Linked DNA regions of Arabidopsis thaliana. The protein of the gene in region 2 purifies or fractionates together with the protein of the main gene of each other region. This does not show direct contact. Each region holds a gene or a part of one and is shown on either strand. Other genes may lie near its edges.

The links.
Region 1: the proteins of GAMMA-ADAPTIN 1 (region 2) and AT4G35410 fractionate together in Arabidopsis thaliana (co-fractionation; one large-scale study listed by BioGRID). This does not show direct contact.
Region 3: the proteins of GAMMA-ADAPTIN 1 (region 2) and AT4G23460 fractionate together in Arabidopsis thaliana (co-fractionation; one large-scale study listed by BioGRID). This does not show direct contact.

The regions. Positions count from the first base shown.
Region 1 is NC_003075.7:16,830,520-16,834,502, reverse strand, and holds AT4G35410 (Clathrin adaptor complex small chain family protein), read right to left. Parts: upstream 2,165-3,983; 5' UTR 1,932-2,164; coding exon 1,929-1,931; intron 1,580-1,928; coding exon 1,493-1,579; intron 1,420-1,492; coding exon 1,219-1,419; coding exon of another isoform or gene 1,189-1,218; intron 1,111-1,188; coding exon 1,075-1,110; intron 964-1,074; coding exon 877-963; intron 782-876; coding exon 707-781; 3' UTR 501-706; downstream 1-500. Other genes in the region: DRL1 (dihydroflavonol 4-reductase-like1), read left to right, coding at 1-171, 265-412. UniProt on the Arabidopsis thaliana protein: Subunit of clathrin-associated adaptor protein complex 1 that plays a role in protein sorting at the trans-Golgi network and early endosomes (TGN/EE).
Region 2 is NC_003070.9:8,439,378-8,447,101, forward strand, and holds the start of GAMMA-ADAPTIN 1 (gamma-adaptin 1), read left to right. Parts: upstream 1-1,701; 5' UTR 1,702-2,001; coding exon 2,002-2,033; intron 2,034-2,076; exon of another isoform or gene 2,077-2,390; coding exon 2,391-2,693; intron 2,694-2,868; coding exon 2,869-3,010; intron 3,011-3,108; coding exon 3,109-3,282; intron 3,283-3,546; coding exon 3,547-3,726; intron 3,727-4,250; coding exon 4,251-4,405; intron 4,406-4,639; coding exon 4,640-4,730; intron 4,731-4,833; coding exon 4,834-4,997; intron 4,998-5,130; coding exon 5,131-5,185; intron 5,186-5,337; coding exon 5,338-5,460; intron 5,461-5,545; coding exon 5,546-5,641; intron 5,642-5,767; coding exon 5,768-5,895; intron 5,896-6,141; coding exon 6,142-6,246; intron 6,247-6,346; coding exon 6,347-6,609; intron 6,610-6,769; coding exon 6,770-7,012; intron 7,013-7,101; coding exon 7,102-7,277; intron 7,278-7,398; coding exon 7,399-7,503; intron 7,504-7,679; coding exon 7,680-7,724. Other genes in the region: AT1G23890 (NHL domain-containing protein), read right to left, coding at 1-35, 121-218, 304-504, 636-800, 1,117-1,287, 1,372-1,426. UniProt on the Arabidopsis thaliana protein: Subunit of clathrin-associated adaptor protein complex 1 that plays a role in protein sorting at the trans-Golgi network and early endosomes (TGN/EE).
Region 3 is NC_003075.7:12,243,171-12,250,796, reverse strand, and holds AT4G23460 (Adaptin family protein), read left to right. Parts: upstream 1-1,778; 5' UTR 1,779-1,898; coding exon 1,899-1,985; intron 1,986-2,428; coding exon 2,429-2,626; intron 2,627-2,661; exon of another isoform or gene 2,662-2,681; coding exon of another isoform or gene 2,682-2,684; intron 2,685-2,773; coding exon 2,774-2,887; intron 2,888-3,018; coding exon 3,019-3,269; intron 3,270-3,641; coding exon 3,642-3,777; intron 3,778-3,909; coding exon 3,910-4,089; intron 4,090-4,177; coding exon 4,178-4,270; intron 4,271-4,362; coding exon 4,363-4,574; intron 4,575-4,648; coding exon 4,649-4,712; intron 4,713-4,814; coding exon 4,815-4,994; intron 4,995-5,097; coding exon 5,098-5,190; intron 5,191-5,296; coding exon 5,297-5,676; intron 5,677-5,816; coding exon 5,817-6,006; intron 6,007-6,093; coding exon 6,094-6,297; intron 6,298-6,598; coding exon 6,599-6,898; 3' UTR 6,899-7,126; downstream 7,127-7,626. Other genes in the region: AT4G23470 (PLAC8 family protein), read right to left, coding at 78-96, 195-319, 425-520, 755-836, 923-979, 1,306-1,327, 1,412-1,508. UniProt on the Arabidopsis thaliana protein: Subunit of clathrin-associated adaptor protein complex that plays a role in protein sorting in the late-Golgi/trans-Golgi network (TGN) and/or endosomes.

The DNA.
Region 1 (3,983 bases), on a different chromosome or scaffold from region 2:
GCATGGACAAATGGGGTATGTTCATATCGATGACGTTGCACGAACCCACATAGTCGTTTTCGAACACGAAGCAGCTCAAGGCAGATACATTTGTAGCTCTAACGTTATCAGTCTAGAGGAACTCGTTTCATTCCTATCTGCTCGTTACCCATCACTCCCTATCCCCAAGAGGTTTGACACTGACCCTTTAAACTAAACCATCTCTCAAACCTTGTAAAATTTTAAAATCATAGATCATGATGATACTCTGTTTGAAAATTTCAGGTTTGAGAAACTAAATAGGTTGCATTACGACTTTGACACCTCGAAGATACAGAGTCTCGGGCTCAAGTTCAAGTCCCTTGAAGAGATGTTCGATGACTGCATTGCCTCATTAGTCGAGCAAGGCTATTTATCTACTGTTCTTCCATAACTCTTGGACTAGAGAATATGTGCAAATAAGATTGGTCTGAAATAGTAGTCATGTGGATTCACAATGAAAGAATGGGATTGGAAAACATGAAATCAAAGATTACAAACGATATAATCTTTACTTGTTTATGAACCAAATCATAACATATTTCTTCTCTCCAAGTTACGCTTTAAGACGAAAATCCCTCCGCAAGAAAAATCAAATGGATAAAGATTTCTCAAAACAATTACTGTAGCCAGAGACAGGGAACATACTTTAACTGCATAAGAATGCATAGATGATGAATAAGACTACTTATCGATTAGTAGCCTGAGCGATTATATTACTTATCGAACTGGCCTCCTCTTTTGCAACCTCCACCAGTTGATCCTTTGACAACATAACAGACAGAGACTGTCATTTCTCAAGAAAAAACTACTACACTAATATTTTCATGTCGATGACTTAAACATACAACTCAGTACCTGAGCGGATATAATCCTGGCTACTGTTTTCTTGCTTGACTCTTGAAGCTCCCCAGCAATCAAGAGCTCATCCAATATGTAATATGCCTAAGAAAGCAACAAGAAATCCAGAAACTGTCAGCAAGATATAAAGATGCAGAGGATAGAGAATCAAGTGACGAATGGCAGAGTCCTTGAGTGTTTGCAGCATGCTATTACCTTGTGGAAGTTAAAAATCAAATCGAGTTCACACACCTGAAGGTCATCAGATAAAACAATTCCTTATCATAATTTAGAGGTTCCGTTAAGGTAAGAGATAGTAAAGGTGGAATCTCAGCAGGTGCTGGTTTTTTTGGTACTCACACTTCCAAAATAGCGATCGAGAATCTCAACATAGTGATGAATGATCTCAAGGACCTCTAACTCGTTATCCTCCTGATCAATGCACATGCAGAAGTAGAGACTTGCATATCTTTTGTAAACAACTTTGTATCCTCTCCATTCAACAAAATTGCAGAGCTTTGGACCTCGATTCAGAATCACTCCACTGAGTTCACGTATAACCTATATACATAGCATGTAAGATGAGAGATGTATGCTAAAGCATAACAAGGTGTGAATGAAGCTCAATACATACCTTAGATCTTTCCTTCTGTGCATAAGGAGAATACCATTTGGTGAGCCTTACCTTTCCTTGCCGGCTAACTAGAAGCACAAAATGTATCTGAAAACACACAAATCAAAAACACACCATTGGTTTCTTATTAGGATCATCAACTCACCAGCTTAAGAAAGAGTCCAACAAACAAAGGTTTCAAATTTGAAGCCATTGAACTGAACTAGGAGGATCGAAACTACGAAAAATCAAACCCAGAAGCTAGCATTATCAAACTAAAGTCACCAAATTTTCTATCTGCAAAGAATAATTTGAAGAGAAATATCTGAAACCACCGATCAAGAGCAGATCCAAGTATCAAACTAATGAAGAAGAAGCATAAGAACGAATCGGAGATGCGAAATTCAAATCCAGGGCAGCATTCGTAAACACAGAATCGAAGATCGAGCATTGTTACCATGATTTCGTAACTCAAGACGGGACAAATCTGTAGTAGCGAAATCCAGAAACTGATAATCGATGATCCTCAACAAGAAAAAAATTCTCTTTGCTCAAACTGTCAAACATGTCGAGTGCCAGGGGTATAATTGTCATTTACATAATTAAAAACGGATTGCATTCCGGGTCGGATCCATGCAAACGGATTGCATTCTCAGCTAATTTTGTTCCATTATTGCAATTATCTTCTTAATCTTATCGAATAGACCAGGGCATTACACATTAAACGTAGCAATTATGTCAAAAGATTTTGAATGAAAATAATTCTTCAATTAATCTTATAGAATTAGTTTCTTAGGTATCAAATTTTTTAATTGTTCTTATACTTGGTGCTGGGTCAAACAACAGAAAAGTATAAGCAATTTTTTTATAACTAAGAATGAAAATATAAAATGCAAATGTAAAGGTAAGTCCATAATCAAAATAGACATAAACAACAGTTTTGATAAGACCCAACAGAAATAACTCCTGACTAACGTGAGCAGCGACTAATGGACACAATTGTGAAGTTATGAACATACTTAATCTCTCACATAAGCTTGTTTTTATTTAACCTTGGAGGGAAGGCATATTCTCTTGCATGCAGGCTTTATTTTTATTTTCTTTGATTTTTGTTTTTCTCAAGTTTCAATGTGTTTTGAAGTTGACATCATCATAGATATTAGGGTTTTAGTTGTTCTCCCAAAATATTCTTTCCCTTCTCTGCGAGACAGTGGAAGTTCAGTTTTATCACAAATTAGAACATGTTTATATGACAATAATCGGAAGATTTAGTTAGAGCCTTAATGTGTGAACATCAATTTACGAATATAATTAAAGTCCATTTTCTCCGTATTACTCACCTAATAATTAGGGGGGAAATGTTATTTAATACCTGAACTTACAAAAAATGGCCAAATTAACCGTGAATTCGTGAAATGGCCGTTTTATCTCTCAACAAAAAGTTGACTTCTATTTTAACCTTTAAGTTTGCGTTGACTCGGTTTAATAAACCACCGTTAAAAATCCTTCTAACAGCGTAATTAACAGCCGTTACAGAACATCCGTTAAGGTGATACGATGACGTTTTGTGCTATCAACAGACTTCAAAGTCGACGAAACCTCTGAAAAATCTCCAAATCAAAACCCAAATCCTAAAAATCATTCTCTCTCAAATTCGATCTGCTTCTCCTTCCGGCGTTGTTTTAGCTGCATCTTGTGCTCCCTCTTCTCCGCCACAAGACTCAGATACCACATTCGTTTCACCCCCAACTTCTTCTCCAATTTCATCTCTTTCTCCTCGCGGTGGTGCTTCGACTCCATCTCCCACCAAATTCTCTGATTCGTGAAGCATTGGAGATCCAATCCTCATAACGACGCCATTCTTTCTAACTAATGGCATTTCAGAAAACGAATTGAAGCAATTAGGGTTTCGATTTTGATTTTGGGGGCAGGATTAGGTTTCGATTTGGGTTTAGGGTAATTGATTTTGTTTTGGGAATTTCTATTCTCGATTTTGATTTCTCTTTAGCACAAAACGTCATCGTATCACCTTAACGGATGTTCTGTAACGGCTGTTAATTACGCTGTTAGAAGAATTTTTAACGGTGGTTTATTAGCCCGAGTCAACGCAAACTTAAAAGTTAAAATAGAAGTCAACTTTTTGTTGAGAGATAAAACGGCCATTTCACGAGTTCACGGTTAATTTGGCCATTTTTTGTAAGTTTAGGTATTAAATAACATTTTTCCCTAATAATAACATTTTTCACGATTAATATGGTCGATTTGACATTTTTCTGTAAGTTTAGATATTAAATCACAAATTAATACTATTTTTTTTTTATGAAACTTACCAATTCTATTCATAAAAACAAACAGAAAAAGGAAATTTAAGCGTTCGTTTTCTTTTTTCACACACCAAGTTTTAAGAGAAACAAAAAATAAATAAATAAAACCTAATATTCGCATTTCGCAACCGCTATAGCTAGTAGCCTAGTAGTTTGAGGTCAAACACGCAAACGCAACAAAAGGTGTC
Region 2 (7,724 bases):
CATGTCATGATGAACGAGAGGTGGTTCACTTCTTCCTGTCTATAACGATTTGGTTTAAGAGATTTGATATGTTGATTATACACTAGTATGTAATATGAGGATAGATTAAAAAAAACTTACATGACGGATGACGTAAGGGCGAACAGCAAATCCAATGGCTACCCCGAGAATGCAGGAAAGGACAATCCCTATTGACCAAAGAGAGTATGTCCCCAAATCTGAAACAGTGAAAGAAGAATCGTTGAAGTTTCCAAAGGCATGGTTAGTCAAATCCACAAAAGATTACTTATAGAAAAGACATACTAGAATGAGAGTTTTCGAGGCAATCCTCCTCCTTAAGATTTATCTGGCGAATCATTTCATTTCCATGATCAGAAACAAGCAAACAACATCTTTGAGGAACAAAAGTTATCTCGAAATCGCTAGAGAAAGTAGCATTCTGTGCAGGTCCATCTCTGTGTCCAAATGCCTTTGAGATCCCTCCAGCAATGGTGGTTACAGAACCTACAAAGTCCAGTAAATAAAACATGCATAATCAAAATAAACTAAGTGGCTCTTTCAACAAACTAAGATTAGACAACAACAACAACTAGCATTTATACAAAAGGAATACAAGAAATGGATTAAACAAACACCTGAAGAGCTGATCTTCCGTATAGCTTTATTACTCTTATCAGCAACATAAACATTCCCTTTAGCATCCACAGCAAAACCACGGGGTTTGCTGAACCGGCTGTTACCAGCTTTACCATCTACATGACCCGAACTCCCATCCCCAGCAAACCGGTTTATCACACTATCTGCACAACCACACACACATACTCAAAGTGAGCTCAAACTTCAATTGAAAGAAAGATAAACAAAATTTTCACTTATAGTAAAGTTTAGAACTTTTATTTGCAGGTTGATCGTTTCACACACATACACACACATATTAGTATTGTGGTCCAATTTGAGATTACGGAGAAAGAAAAAATGAAGGTCAAGACTTGCAATCAAAATCAACAAGCTCTAAACATTTACTTATGCATCCATGAATTTACAACTCATATACAAACACAATTATAATGATCCGATTAATAGATGAGACAAAAGAGTGGTTTTGTGGGTGTTTACCAACGGACAAAGGAAAGGAAGTAGTGTAAAATGTACTGCCGGAAGAATCAAGGACGATCAGATTAGAAGATCCTGGTAAAGCATGAATCGTGTATGGATTCAGACCAGACTTATGGCCATCGACCACCGTTGTGACTTCGTACCCTTCTTCTAAAACTATCTTACCACTCACTGTAACAAAATCATGAGGAAAATTAAAAATTCGAATTTTGGGTTGGGAAATTCAACTGAATTAACAGATTTTTGAAAATATACCCAGATTGAAAACGACGAACAAGAAGAGAGACACGGACGAAAATCCCCAAGCCATGTCAAAATCGAGAGGAGAAAGCGACTGTTCTGTGTAACTTGTGTTGTGTTACTTATTTTTGCTGCTTAGCATCTTTAAAGGTTTTAAAAAGATACTAGGGCCTGAGCGATACTATGATGTGTTCAAGTGTAGGGGAGAATTTGTGTAACAACCAATGAAAGAGCGCGTATCATCGACCCTCTCAAATTTGACTAATAAAAACGGCCCAAGTAGGGCCCATTTATGTGTTTAACTATAAAGAAACGGCCCAGTCTATGTTTTTGTTTTGAGAGGATTGCTGGTCGAAACGTTACCGTTTAGGTGGAAATGGAAGTCATGTTTATACAACGCATTTAATTTGGCAATTATGGTTTACGAAGACTGAGAAGAAAAAAACGAGCATCGTCCATCGAGATCCAAATCCTCAGTTTCATTTTCATCTCTCTCTCTCGTATTGATCAGCTACTCGAAACTCCGGTAACGGATTTTCACAATCCCGGCGGCGAAACTCTTCTTCCCGGCTAAGTTTTCATTTTCTTCAGATTCCTCGTAAAGTTGCCGGTGGACCAAGGTCCAACTCTTGAACACCCCAAATCATGAATCCCTTTTCTTCTGGTACTCGTTTAAGGTAAATTGATTCTCTTCTTTCCTTTTTATCGTTTCTGTTTCAGGTTTCTTAGTCGTTGATCAGCTTACAAATGAAATTTGAATATAACATGATGTAATTGAGCTCGTTTTCATTTGAGGATTGAATTTTGTTGATTGGCCTGTTTCGAAGATGAATTTGGTATTGGTGTTTCTGATTCCATTTAGAATTTTGATTTTAGTCTAAGAACATGATCACACTAAGGATTTTTGGTAATCCTTTTGCTTAATTTAATTGAATATTGGATTGGTCATGTTGCTGTTGGGGTTTAATAGTGGAATCAGATCGGATTATTGTATATGGTTCTGAAGTTATAGTGGACATATGAGTATGATTCAGGGACATGATCCGTGCCATAAGAGCATGCAAAACAGCTGCGGAGGAGCGAGCTGTTGTAAGAAAGGAGTGTGCCGATATTCGAGCATTGATTAATGAAGATGACCCGCATGATCGGCACCGGAACCTTGCGAAACTCATGTTTATACACATGCTGGGTTATCCCACACACTTTGGGCAGATGGAGTGCTTGAAGCTAATTGCATCTCCTGGATTTCCAGAGAAGAGGATTGGATATCTAGGGCTAATGTTGCTTCTTGATGAGAGACAAGAAGTGTTGATGCTTGTCACAAATTCGTTAAAACAGTATCCTTACTAATTTCTAGTATTAAATCTTGATACCTTGGCCTTTGAATGGATTCTTCTTCTATGTTAAAAAATACTAGAGAACACTTGATTTTTGATTGCATTGCTGTTATGGGAATTAAGGAGAAAAATATTTAAATAGATTTGTTCCTGTTTAACCTTAAGTCACGTGCAGAGATCTTAATCACTCGAACCAGTATGTTGTAGGACTTGCTCTCTGTGCTTTAGGGAATATTTGTTCAGCAGAAATGGCCCGTGATCTTGCGCCAGAAGTAGAAAGATTAATCCAGTTTCGTGACCCTAATATCCGAAAGAAGGTGAAGTGTTTTCTAATTCATATACAGGGTCTCCTGGAGTTTAGTCGCTTTTTTTTTTTCCTTCATTGCCTTTACCATTTATGTTGTATTATATGCAGGCGGCGCTTTGCTCTACTAGAATAATAAGGAAAGTTCCAGATCTAGCAGAAAACTTCGTAAATGCTGCTGCTTCCTTGCTTAAAGAAAAGCATCATGGGGTTCTTATAACAGGAGTTCAACTTTGTTATGAATTATGCACGATTAATGATGAAGCCCTAGAGTACTTCAGAACGGTAAGTCTATAAATATTATACAGAACACTCTACTTATGCATACAGGAGCATCGACGTAATTTAATTGAATATGCGTACATATGATACTATATTACCTGTATGATGCTTTTGTGTACTATTTTTCTCTTGCAATAAAGTTTGATATCTGTGGTATTCACTTATAAATAGATTACTCTGCTGAAATGAGGCAGACAATCAGGTTGTTATATTGTTTTATCAGACCGTCAGTTTTGACAAACCCTTGTCTTTGTTTTGTCTCTGCAGAAATGCACAGAGGGACTGATAAAAACTTTGAGGGATATTACTAATAGCGCATATCAGCCTGAGTATGATGTTGCAGGGATCACAGACCCTTTTCTCCACATACGGTTGCTCAGGCTCTTGCGTGTTTTAGGCCAGGGTGATGCTGATGCTAGTGATTTGATGACAGATATACTTGCACAGGTTAGTCATAGTTTAGCAAGTGATTCTGGATATGGTTGACCATCTTCACATTTGCGATGTAATTCCTTTGTTAAACATCAACGGTTTATGGTTTTTGTTCCAGTTACCTTACATATATTTTTTCGGAAAAATGTTGTAAGATAGCTATGCTCTCTCATGTGCTGGAACTGATTCTGTTAAATATAGCATAATGGAGAAAGAATTTCATTTCGTTGATAGGGTTCATGGGCTATTATTCTCTTTGGTAGATAGAAGACTTATTGGTTACTGAGTTTTTGCCGTACTTGAATTCTCCCTCTTTTGATACCGGTCTTTGTTGTCATAGTAAGTGTTGATTTGTGGACGGACATATAAATCTGTAGGCTGCGCCAATCCTTTTCTATCTCACCATGATGAATGCATCCTGCGTCTGTTACATGCTTTGTTTTGGAAATCTTTTGAGTTCAAAGTCAGGGATCTACTGTCGGATACTTTGTTATCCTGGTTCTTTGATATTTATTCTCGTTGGTTTCATGCTATTGTAGGTGGCAACAAAAACTGAATCAAACAAAAACGCAGGGAATGCGGTACTCTATGAGTGTGTTGAAACAATCATGGCCATTGAAGACACCAATAGCTTGCGTGTGCTTGCTATCAATATCTTGGGAAGATTCTTATCTAACCGCGACAATAACATCAGGTTCAACCCCCTACACCTCAATTTTATTTGATAATAGTATGGTATTATATATGTTTGTAATGGAACTAGCTTACTTGTATTTTTCTTCTGTCTATCATCTTTCTTTGGATGTGCTTAACTCTATGAAGCACACAATGCTCTTCTGACCAACCAGCGTTGCCTTTTCTAATCTTGATTTCGTTTCTCTCAAAAACGCTGCATTCCCTTATGAAATTCATACTTTCGTTCTCTCAGATATGTTGCATTAAACATGCTGATGAAAGCTATCACTTTCGATGATCAAGCAGTGCAAAGGCACAGAGTTACAATTTTGGAATGTGTGAAGGTATTAGTATTACCAGGAAAATATTTTATACAATGTTAACTGCTAAGTATATCTTAGAGAAATAAAAAATGCTAATTTGGTTTCTGCTTCCATAACAATATAGGACCCAGATGCTTCTATCCGGAAAAGAGCTCTTGAGCTTGTCACTCTTTTGGTGAATGAAAACAATGTCACACAACTGACAAAGGAGCTAATTGATTATTTGGAAATCAGCGACGAAGATTTTAAGGAAGATCTTAGTGCAAAAATTTGTTTTATCGTTGAAAAGTAAGTATTCTATTTAAGAAATAGAATGACTACTTACTCTGAGAAAGTTGGGGGTCAGGATGATTGGAAAGTTACTGTGAATGTCTAGTTGATTGAAGTTTTTGTTGACTTTTTAAATTTTTTGATAATGTAGGTTTTCTCCAGAAAAACTATGGTACATTGATCAGATGCTCAAGGTTCTGTGTGAGGTATGGATTCAAACGCGAGAATATGCTCTGTAACGTGTTACCAGTTAATTGCACTCTTTGAAATCGTTTGAGAGTTTATATCTGCTTAAGCTAATTTCAAATGCATTGTTTGTATCTGTCATAACCTATTGTCATCTATTCCATGTTAGTAGGCTGGAAAGTTTGTGAAAGATGATGTGTGGCATGCACTTATTGTTGTCATAAGCAATGCATCAGAGCTTCATGGATATACAGTTAGGGCCTTGTACAAATCAGTCTTGACTTATTCGGAACAGGTAGCTATTTTCTAATGTTAGATTGTGCTCAGTCCTCAATCAGTTGTAACCCTTTCTAATATGGTTTCGTTGAGATGATAACCAGGAGACCCTTGTCCGAGTGGCGGTATGGTGCATTGGGGAATATGGTGATCTGTTGGTTAACAATGTGGGGATGCTTGGTATTGAAGATCCAATAACGGTGAGCATCACAATGGCAATCTTAATTCATTATTTGCTCCATGATAAATATGCAGATGCTTTTGCTTCTTGGGATTTCATTTTTGCTTTGAAAAATATGCAACGAGTATGTGACTGCCTTGAGCAGGTAACGGAATCTGATGCAGTGGACGTTATCGAGGATGCCATTACTCGCCATAACTCAGATTCGACTACAAAAGCAATGGCATTGGTTGCTCTACTGAAGTTGTCATCCCGCTTTCCTTCTATTTCAGAGTATGTCTGACCTCGTTGTGCTATCTGTTTTTATCTCAACTCGTTCATCTGATATCTGCACTTATCCCTTTTCAACTCTACACAAGATGCATATGCGCACTAGTATATGAATAATAAATTTTGGTCTGTCTACAAGAAACTGTAGCGCGTTGCCTTCTGAAAAAAGATTAGAAATATATTATACATGTACATCCTGTCCTCAACTCTCTATTGATAATTAAAAAGTTTTCTAAAATTCAATGACAGGAGAATTAAAGACATAATTGTGAAGCAGAAAGGAAGCCTTCTCCTTGAAATGCAGCAGAGAGCTATTGAATACAATTCTATAGTTGACAGGCATAAAAATATCAGGTGGAATCCCTTGTGCCTCTCTTCCTCATCTATCTTCTAGTGTAAGTTTTTCATATTCTCTCTCCCTCAAAGCTCATGATAGAGGTATGTGTGCATACAGGTCTTCTCTGGTTGACAGAATGCCGGTACTGGATGAGGCTACTTTCAATGTGAGGAGGGCCGGCTCTTTTCCTGCATCAGTTTCAACCATGGCCAAGCCTTCAGTTAGCCTTCAAAATGGTGTTGAGAAACTTCCTGTCGCTCCTCTTGTGGACTTGCTAGACCTAGATTCTGACGATATCATGGCTGCACCTAGTCCATCTGGTACAGATTTCCTTCAGGATCTTCTCGGTGTAGACTTAGGTTCATCGTCAGCACAATATGGTTAGTTCTTTGGCGGTTCTACAGCTCTTGCGTTCATATTATGGCGTGCTCATCTGCTATGTGTCTCTGAATGAACAAGTTTTTAAAAAAATCATTTTCCTCATTGCCTTGCAAAAGGATAACTCATGTTTGGTCTTCCATTTTTTATCCAATGATTCAGGTGCAACCCAGGCTCCAAAAGCTGGCACAGATCTGTTGCTGGATATTCTATCAATTGGAACACCTTCTCCTGCACAAAACAGCACATCATCTATTGGTTTATTATCAATAGCTGACGTTAACAATAATCCCTCAATTGCGCTAGACACACTTTCTTCACCAGCTCCACCTCACGTAGCAACAACTTCGTCCACCGGTATGTTTGATTTGCTAGATGGTCTTTCTCCAAGCCCATCGAAGGAAGGTAGGAAAAAGTCTTAACCTGAAAAAGATCTGTATAATCATTGAAACTCTTTTACAAAGGTCAATAACAAGTTTTCCTCCTTATTGCAGCCACCAATGGTCCAGCTTATGCACCTATTGTTGCATACGAGAGCAGCTCCTTGAAGATTGAGTTCACCTTCTCAAAGACACCAGGGAATCTGCAAACGACAAATGTCCAGGCTACTTTTACTAATTTATCTCCCAATACTTTCACAGATTTTATATTCCAGGCTGCTGTTCCAAAGGTAATTACATCTATCTTCTTTTTTTGCTTTTTTCCCCTTTATTCATCTTTCCCAATTGATAAAGCAGTAAATAGATTTCAATTTTTTCTTTAACCTTCTCTTTCTTTTGTGTAACTTCCAGTTCCTCCAGCTGCACTTGGATCCAGCTAGCAGTAACACACTCCTGGCAAGCGGTAGTGGTGCCATCACGCAGAATCTAAGAGTCACTAACAGCCAGCAGGGGAAGGTATGGCACATTCTCTGTTCGTCTTTCTATCTAACTTTATGTCTTCAACATTCCGTGCTCAGCATTGATGAATAGCACTTGATGATCCACAACATAATCTATGCTCAAATAAAGATAGGCTGAGCCTGTGGATTCAGTGACTTAACATAACACTAAGGGTTTAATGTTTATTGCAGAAATCTCTTGTGATGCGCATGAGGATTGGGTACAAACTGAACGGA
Region 3 (7,626 bases), on a different chromosome or scaffold from region 2:
ATAGATATTACCGTAAGTGTAGGATTTAAGTAAGGAGAGATTGGAATGGGTTGATATGATATCATCACTGCTCGTACCTGCATACATGCGCAAACCCTGCAGACCAAGCAAAGTACGATATATCAGGACAATAGGTTAAAATTGGGTTTTGATCGAAACTTATAAGAATGGCACTTTGGATGGGGGATTCTTACGTGCAGTACACCATGTCAGAGCAACATGTGAGTATCTGAGAAGCTTCTGAAAGCTCATCCATACCGACAATACATGCAACTATGGAGAATATGCAAGCCACTTGGCTGAGGCAAACCATGAAACCCTACACAGCCAAAAAGCCAGCACAGATTACGAAACTTGTTTATCGTGTTTGTAATTGCTTGTGAGTGTCAGTAACAGGCATGGTCTGGGCAATGAGGATACTTACAATGATGCAGTTGTCACATTTTGTCGTTTGAATTTGGAACTCATCTTGCAGAAGAAAGCGAGTTGAGGCCACAGAGTTTGCAAAGCAGCAGAAGACCTGCGATTGATCTGCTATTTAGAAGACCAGAAATTTGCTAAAATTTCGCGAGGTTGCCTCACAAGTCACACCTAGGTATGACTGAGATTGTATGCATATGCTACAGGAAGCATTCAGATGCTGAAATCGAAATTTCTAGACTAGCTGTGTCTATAGAAAAGACTTCATTTTTGTTGTCCAAAAAAAAAAAAGACTTCATTTGAAGATAATAGCTAACAAAATCAAGTTTCTTACCTCAGTGGCAAGACAAAGTTGAGGACATTTGGCTTCTCCACACCTACCACTACAAGGCATGTAACCGGCACAGCAGACGTACCTGCGAGACAAAAAAAACAATCTTCTTAAACTAAGAAGATGGAATTGGAATGGAGCTATATGAAAGTGACTGAATGTGTGATATACCTTGACATATCATCGTAAAGCGCACGCTTGCGAAGCAAGTATGATGCACAAGGGGCACTGCAATGAGAAGAAGAAGAAACAAGACATTTCCATATGTATGCTAAACATATCAGACCCAAAGAGATACACAAATCATACAATGTCAAACTCCTAATGCACTGAAATTATCACATACAATGATCAGAGAAACTCATATTATCTGTGAAATTCAGATCACTCCATACACATTTCTTGATGAAATGAAAATCAAGCCGATCTAAGAATTTAAATCGAAGTCAACTCTTGGTCAATTCAAATAAACCAAGATCCGACTACTACAAATATCCAAATTCCAAATACAGAGAGAACAAGCAACGAAAAATCTCAGATCAATCGAAACTTACCACCACAACGCGAAGCAACAATCTGCGAACAACACAGAAATCGATCAAATCAACAACCAAAACCAATCCAACCCACAAATTTCAAAAAGAGAGAGTGAGAAATTACAAGGAGTATCGTTCTGGATACTGTGGGTAAGATCGGTATGCCAAACATTACGGAAGTTCTTACGAAGCTCCATCTTCTCCATATCCTGTTTCGGCATTTTCACAAGGATCTGATTTCGACGACGAAATGAGGTCAAGCGAGAGAGAAGCGATTTAAGGATCAGAGACTCTTCGCGAAAAGTCTTTGAGAATCTGATCCACAATCACATCTAAAAGCTGTTCTCTCACAAACGTGTTTCTGACTTCATCTCTCTCATATCGACAACTTGAGAATACAAATTCTTCTTCTCCCCTCCCCTGGATGGCAACTGGCGTTGACTAGACGAAGTCACGAGGCAATTTCGTCAAATATCAATAATACTAGGGTTAAACTGTAATTAGTTTTATTTTAACCCCGACCTATTACTTTTTGCAATTTCGTGTCTTTGTGTCTCTTGTCACTGATCGTCTCGGAGGAGAAGAAGTGTGGAGGTTGAAGAAGGGAGAAAATGAGCGGTCATGATTCTAAATATTTTTCGACTACGAAGAAGGGAGAGATCCCTGAGCTCAAGGAAGAGCTGAATTCACAGTACAAGGTTCTTCTTCTCCGTCTAATTTCATATATGGATCTGTGATCCGCCATTTTCACGATTCTAATCTCATCTCTTTCTCGTTCGTTGAATTATGCATAATCATTTTCTGGTAGATCTGTATGATTATGGATTCGAATTGATCGGTTAATTTTGTTGATATTTTAGTTTGAAAGATTGATGATGGTGTACGTTATAATGTTATGTGTTCAATGGTTCATTTGAAACTATGTAGAAATGGAATGAAATTCAGAATAATGGTTAATGCGGGGATGTGTTTAGATTGGGGGATCATAAGTTTTGAATATGGATCAATGCAGTGGTTGGGCGATAGAAACAGTTCTTCTTTGAGTAGATGGTCCAATGGTTGTATATGGTACTGATTGAAGATGATGGAATGCGTTTTTGCTTCAGTTTCCTAAATTCTCTTTTTTTCTTTATGTTCCTAGGATAAGAGGAAAGATGCTGTTAAGAAGGTTATTGCGGCAATGACTGTTGGAAAGGATGTTTCATCACTTTTCACTGATGTAGTCAATTGCATGCAAACTGAGAATCTGGAGTTGAAGAAGCTTGTTTACTTGTATCTGATAAACTATGCAAAAAGCCAGCCAGATCTTGCTATCCTCGCTGTAAATACTTTTGTTAAGGTAACACTTCAGCTACTTTGCTTATATAGCCTACCCAAACATAAAGACCTAACATATGGCAAGTTTCTTGGTCTTTCTCTGATTTTGGTGGATGGAAAATTATTTAAGAAACTCATCGTTATTAAGTTCTCGCTTTGTATTTGGCAGGATTCACAAGACCCAAATCCATTGATCCGGGCTTTGGCTGTGCGAACGATGGGCTGTATTCGTGTTGATAAGATTACAGAATATTTGTGTGATCCTCTTCAGAAATGCCTAAAGGTTGAGTTTTTAATGCTACCTTGTCACTGCACCTTGTAGCAAATATTTATGTCCCTCAAGAATTTTTTTATTCTTTGACTGATGACATATTTCTGTATTTTCTGGCATGTTGCAATTTTTTTATTTTTCAGGATGATGATCCATATGTCCGCAAGACAGCAGCTATTTGTGTTGCTAAACTGTTTGACATAAATGCTGAATTAGTTGAGGATAGGGGGTTCCTGGAAGCCTTAAAGGATTTAATATCAGACAATAATCCAATGGTTGTGGCAAATGCTGTAGCTGCCCTTGCAGAGATCCAAGAGAATAGTACTAGTCCCATATTTGAAATCAATAGTACCATCCTCACAAAGCTCCTTACAGCTTTGAATGAATGTACTGAGTAAGTCGTTCCTGATTTCCATCTCTTACTTTCACTCAGATTGTGTATGATTGACTAATTTTAGTCAGATCATATTAGGTTTTGTTTTCGGAGAACAGACAGGCTGGCCTAAATATTCACAGTAGGATAATCTGTTGAGTTGCGGACTTGCTTCTTGTGTTAAAGCATCAGTTTATCTATGCATTTTGTTCTGTATCTAACCTAAAATTGTGACAGAACTTTGTTGTTATTGAAGTTGAAGGTTTTCTGTGTAGATAAAGGACTCATGGTTTTGAACATTGGGGAAAGGGATCCATAAAGCGACTATTGTTTCCTTTTGCTGTATACATATTTATAGCTTTCAATTTTTAATACTGTTTGTGTTCTTCACAGATGGGGTCAAGTTTTTATATTAGATGCTTTGTCGAGGTATAAGGCATCTGATCCTCGTGAAGCTGAAAATATTGTTGAGAGAGTCACTCCAAGGTTGCAACATGCCAACTGTGCTGTTGTGCTTTCAGCTGTTAAGGTGACACTTTCAAAATATATACTTCTCTCTGGAATGTCACCTGTTCGCCAGTCAAAATTGTTTATGAAGTGTCAACTATATTCCCTTACATAATTTTCTAATGCCAGTCCTCTTTATTTCATTGCTTTCCAGATGATCCTTCAGCAGATGGAGCTTATTACTAGCACAGATGTGATTCGAAATCTTTGCAAGAAGATGGCTCCTCCCCTAGTTACATTGCTTTCTGCAGAACCTGAGATACAGTATGTTGCACTTCGTAACATTAACCTTATTGTCCAAAAGAGACCCACTATTCTTGCCCATGAAATCAAGGTAGCTTGATCCTGTCTCGTAGACTCTCCGAAATAAGCAATTGATATATTCTTATATTTGTTGATAATGCTTCATGGTTTTATTGCAGGTGTTCTTCTGCAAGTATAATGATCCGATATATGTTAAGATGGAGAAGTTAGAGATTATGATAAAACTTGCTTCTGACAGAAACATAGACCAGGTAATCCTTACTACACTTTTATCATCTGCCGTTTGTCCAAGTTATTTTGTTTTGGTGCACATCATGATGGTTTCTAGACCATTCCAATGTAGGTTCTTCTGGAGTTCAAAGAATATGCCACGGAAGTAGATGTTGATTTTGTTCGGAAGGCTGTTCGTGCTATAGGCCGATGTGCCATCAAACTAGAAAGAGCAGCTGAACGGTGCATCAGTGTTTTACTTGAGCTGATCAAGATCAAAGTAAACTACGTTGTGCAGGAGGCCATTATAGTCATCAAAGATATCTTTAGAAGATATCCAAATACGTAAGTTGATTTTGGCCTCCTGAAGTGCTGTAATTCTTTTTAATCTTGGCTATGTCTTTTAAAATAATGTGCAGGTATGAGTCCATAATCGCAACACTCTGTGAGAGTCTAGACACATTGGATGAACCAGAAGCTAAGGTAACAAAATTTGTCGTTTGGGTAGTGTATATTAGCTGGAAGCTTCTCCATCGCAAATATAATCGGTGAAACTCATACTTGTATTTGTTGGCATCTTGAAAGGCATCTATGATTTGGATCATTGGTGAATATGCTGAAAGAATCGACAATGCGGATGAACTTCTTGAAAGCTTCCTGGAGAATTTCCCTGAGGAACCAGCACAAGTCCAACTGCAGCTTCTTACAGCTACAGTCAAACTATTTCTGAAGAAGCCAACTGAAGGCCCACAACAAATGATTCAGGTTCTGCCATGACCATTATGAAGACTACCTTTTGCTCTCCTAATCGATTAAAGCGCATGTATTTGACGACAGGCCTGGCTTTTGCCATGTTTCAATTTTTCAGGTTGTCTTGAATAATGCTACTGTTGAAACAGATAATCCTGATCTCAGGGATCGTGCATACATCTACTGGCGTCTTCTATCGACTGATCCTGAGGTATGTTTTCTTAATATATTCTACTAAACTAGTTCAAGGACATTGGAGGATGAGCAACAATCATCTCTTTTACCTACAGTCATCAGTGCTCTTCTTTTGACTATAGGCGGCCAAGGATGTTGTTTTAGCTGAAAAGCCTGTGATTACTGATGACTCAAACCAACTTGATCCGTCGCTCCTGGATGAGCTACTTGCAAATATATCCACCTTGTCCTCTGTGTATCACAAGCCGCCAGAGGCTTTTGTAACCCGCTTGAAAACCACAGTTCAGAAAACGGAGGATGAGGATTATGTAGAAGGGAGCGAAACAGGATATCCCGAGGCATCTGGTAATCCGGTTGATGGTGCAGCTTCCCCGTCAGCTACCACAGGCTATGTCACAAAGCTAGCTGCTGCCCCAGCTCCTGTACCCGATCTGCTAGGTGACCTAATGGGGTCAGATAATGCTGCAATCGTCCCTGTAGATGAACCCACAACTCCGTCAGGGTGAGTTTTGAATGGTGAAAATTACATTAAAAGTCTCTCTCACAGTTGGGGTGTGCGATGGACTGGTTTTATTCAATCATATCTATTTGGATCACCTTGTTGTTTATAAAACTCATTGAATCACCTAATATTGTTTGCAGTCGTCCACTGCCTGTTGTCCTACCAGCATCAAAGGGTCAAGGTCTGCAGATTAGCGCTCAATTAACCCGACAAGATGGTCAAGTATTCTACAGTATGCTCCTCGAGAACAACTCGCAGTCACTTCTTGATGGCTTCATGATTCAGTTCAACAAAAACTCATTCGGCCTTGCAGCTGTCGGATCACTTCAGGTAATAGTAGTTGGATATGCTCTACATCTACGCCTATTATATATCCTGGATTCCTGAAACTGATGTCCAGGTTTTGTACTATTATAGGTTCCGCCTCTGCAACCCGGAGCATCTGCCAGGACAATGATGCCAATGGTATTGTCCCAAAACATGTCTACTGGCTCCACCAGCTCGGTATTGCAAGTTGCCGTCAAAAACAACCAGCAGCCTGTCTGGTACTTCGAGGATAAGATTGTACTTAACGCTCTTTTCTCAGAAGATGGTCGGATGGAGCGCGGAACCTTCCTCGAGGTAAAAGACTAATATATGATAAAGAGTTCATTAACAATACAGCACCATGTTAGTCATTGACTAATAGTGGAGAGGGCTTATGATATTAAGATGGGCGAGTAATTAGTGACAGATTTTGTGCCTTAAGAAGCCTGGGGGAGTTAGGGTGCTGTAGATCTTAACATATGATATGGTTTTCATCGATTTAAGTTTCTAGACTCAGTAAGAACTGAAGGAAGATATTGATTTCTGATCATAACTATATACCACAGTCTTAAAAACCAGTTCTTCTGAGTTATAAAACATTTGTTTTTTTGATTAGACATGGAAATCGTTACCGGATTCAAACGAGGTGCAGAAAGAATTCCCCGGGATAACCATCACGAGCGTGGAGTCAACACTTGATTTACTCGCCGCATCAAACATGTTCTTCATAGCAAAGCGTAAGAATGGGAACCAAGACGTCCTCTATCTTTCGGCCAAGGTACCAAGAGGCATACCGTTCCTGATCGAACTAACGGCCATAGTGGGTCAACCTGGTCTGAAATGTGCAGTCAAGACTCCAACCCCTGAGATCGCTCCTCTCTTCTTTGAAGCAGTCGAAATTCTCTTCAAGGCTTGATTTGATTTTACACTGCCCTAAGGTAAGCAAATTTCTTCTTTTAGTGTATGTAGTAAGTGAATTGTTGCCGACTTCTTGTTTCTAATTTTTGTGTTGGAACCCACTCGTTTTTTTATTCTCGTAAGAGCTTTGATTTTTGATGTTGTCGTTGCGTATATGCCCCAAAAGGTTTTTGATTAAACTAGTGTGATAATGACTTATTATCAGCAAATGCTATTTTTAGTGTTCAGTGACCGACATGAAATCAAAAAGTTTCCTAAGTGGAGCGAAGAGATTCGTACACGTAAACCAGTTGAGAATTTGGTACCTTCTTCACAACAGATAGGCGTAGATAGATAGATACTGGGCCCGTAATGCGACGTAGCAATTTCCTAATATCAATATCAATCATGATTTCCTGTAACATGCGGTTACAAAATAGCTTCGTCGAAACTAATCTTCTTTTAATTATCGATTGATTATTAAATCAATTCAAAACCAAAACTAATTGAAAATTTTAAAGCTTGAGGGGGACTAATAGTAACGTGAGATTGAAGTAATGCCACCGAATATAAGGGTTGAGTAAGGGCGCTACACGCCATCACATAAAAGGGATTATACTATCAATCAACTAATATTTTTGTAACTTAAAATGAAATACCAAAGTTTCGACATTATTGGTTTATGAAAGCTCACCATTGTATTTTAATTTGATCAAAACTATACATTTTAGTTGAGACCGTAAGTAC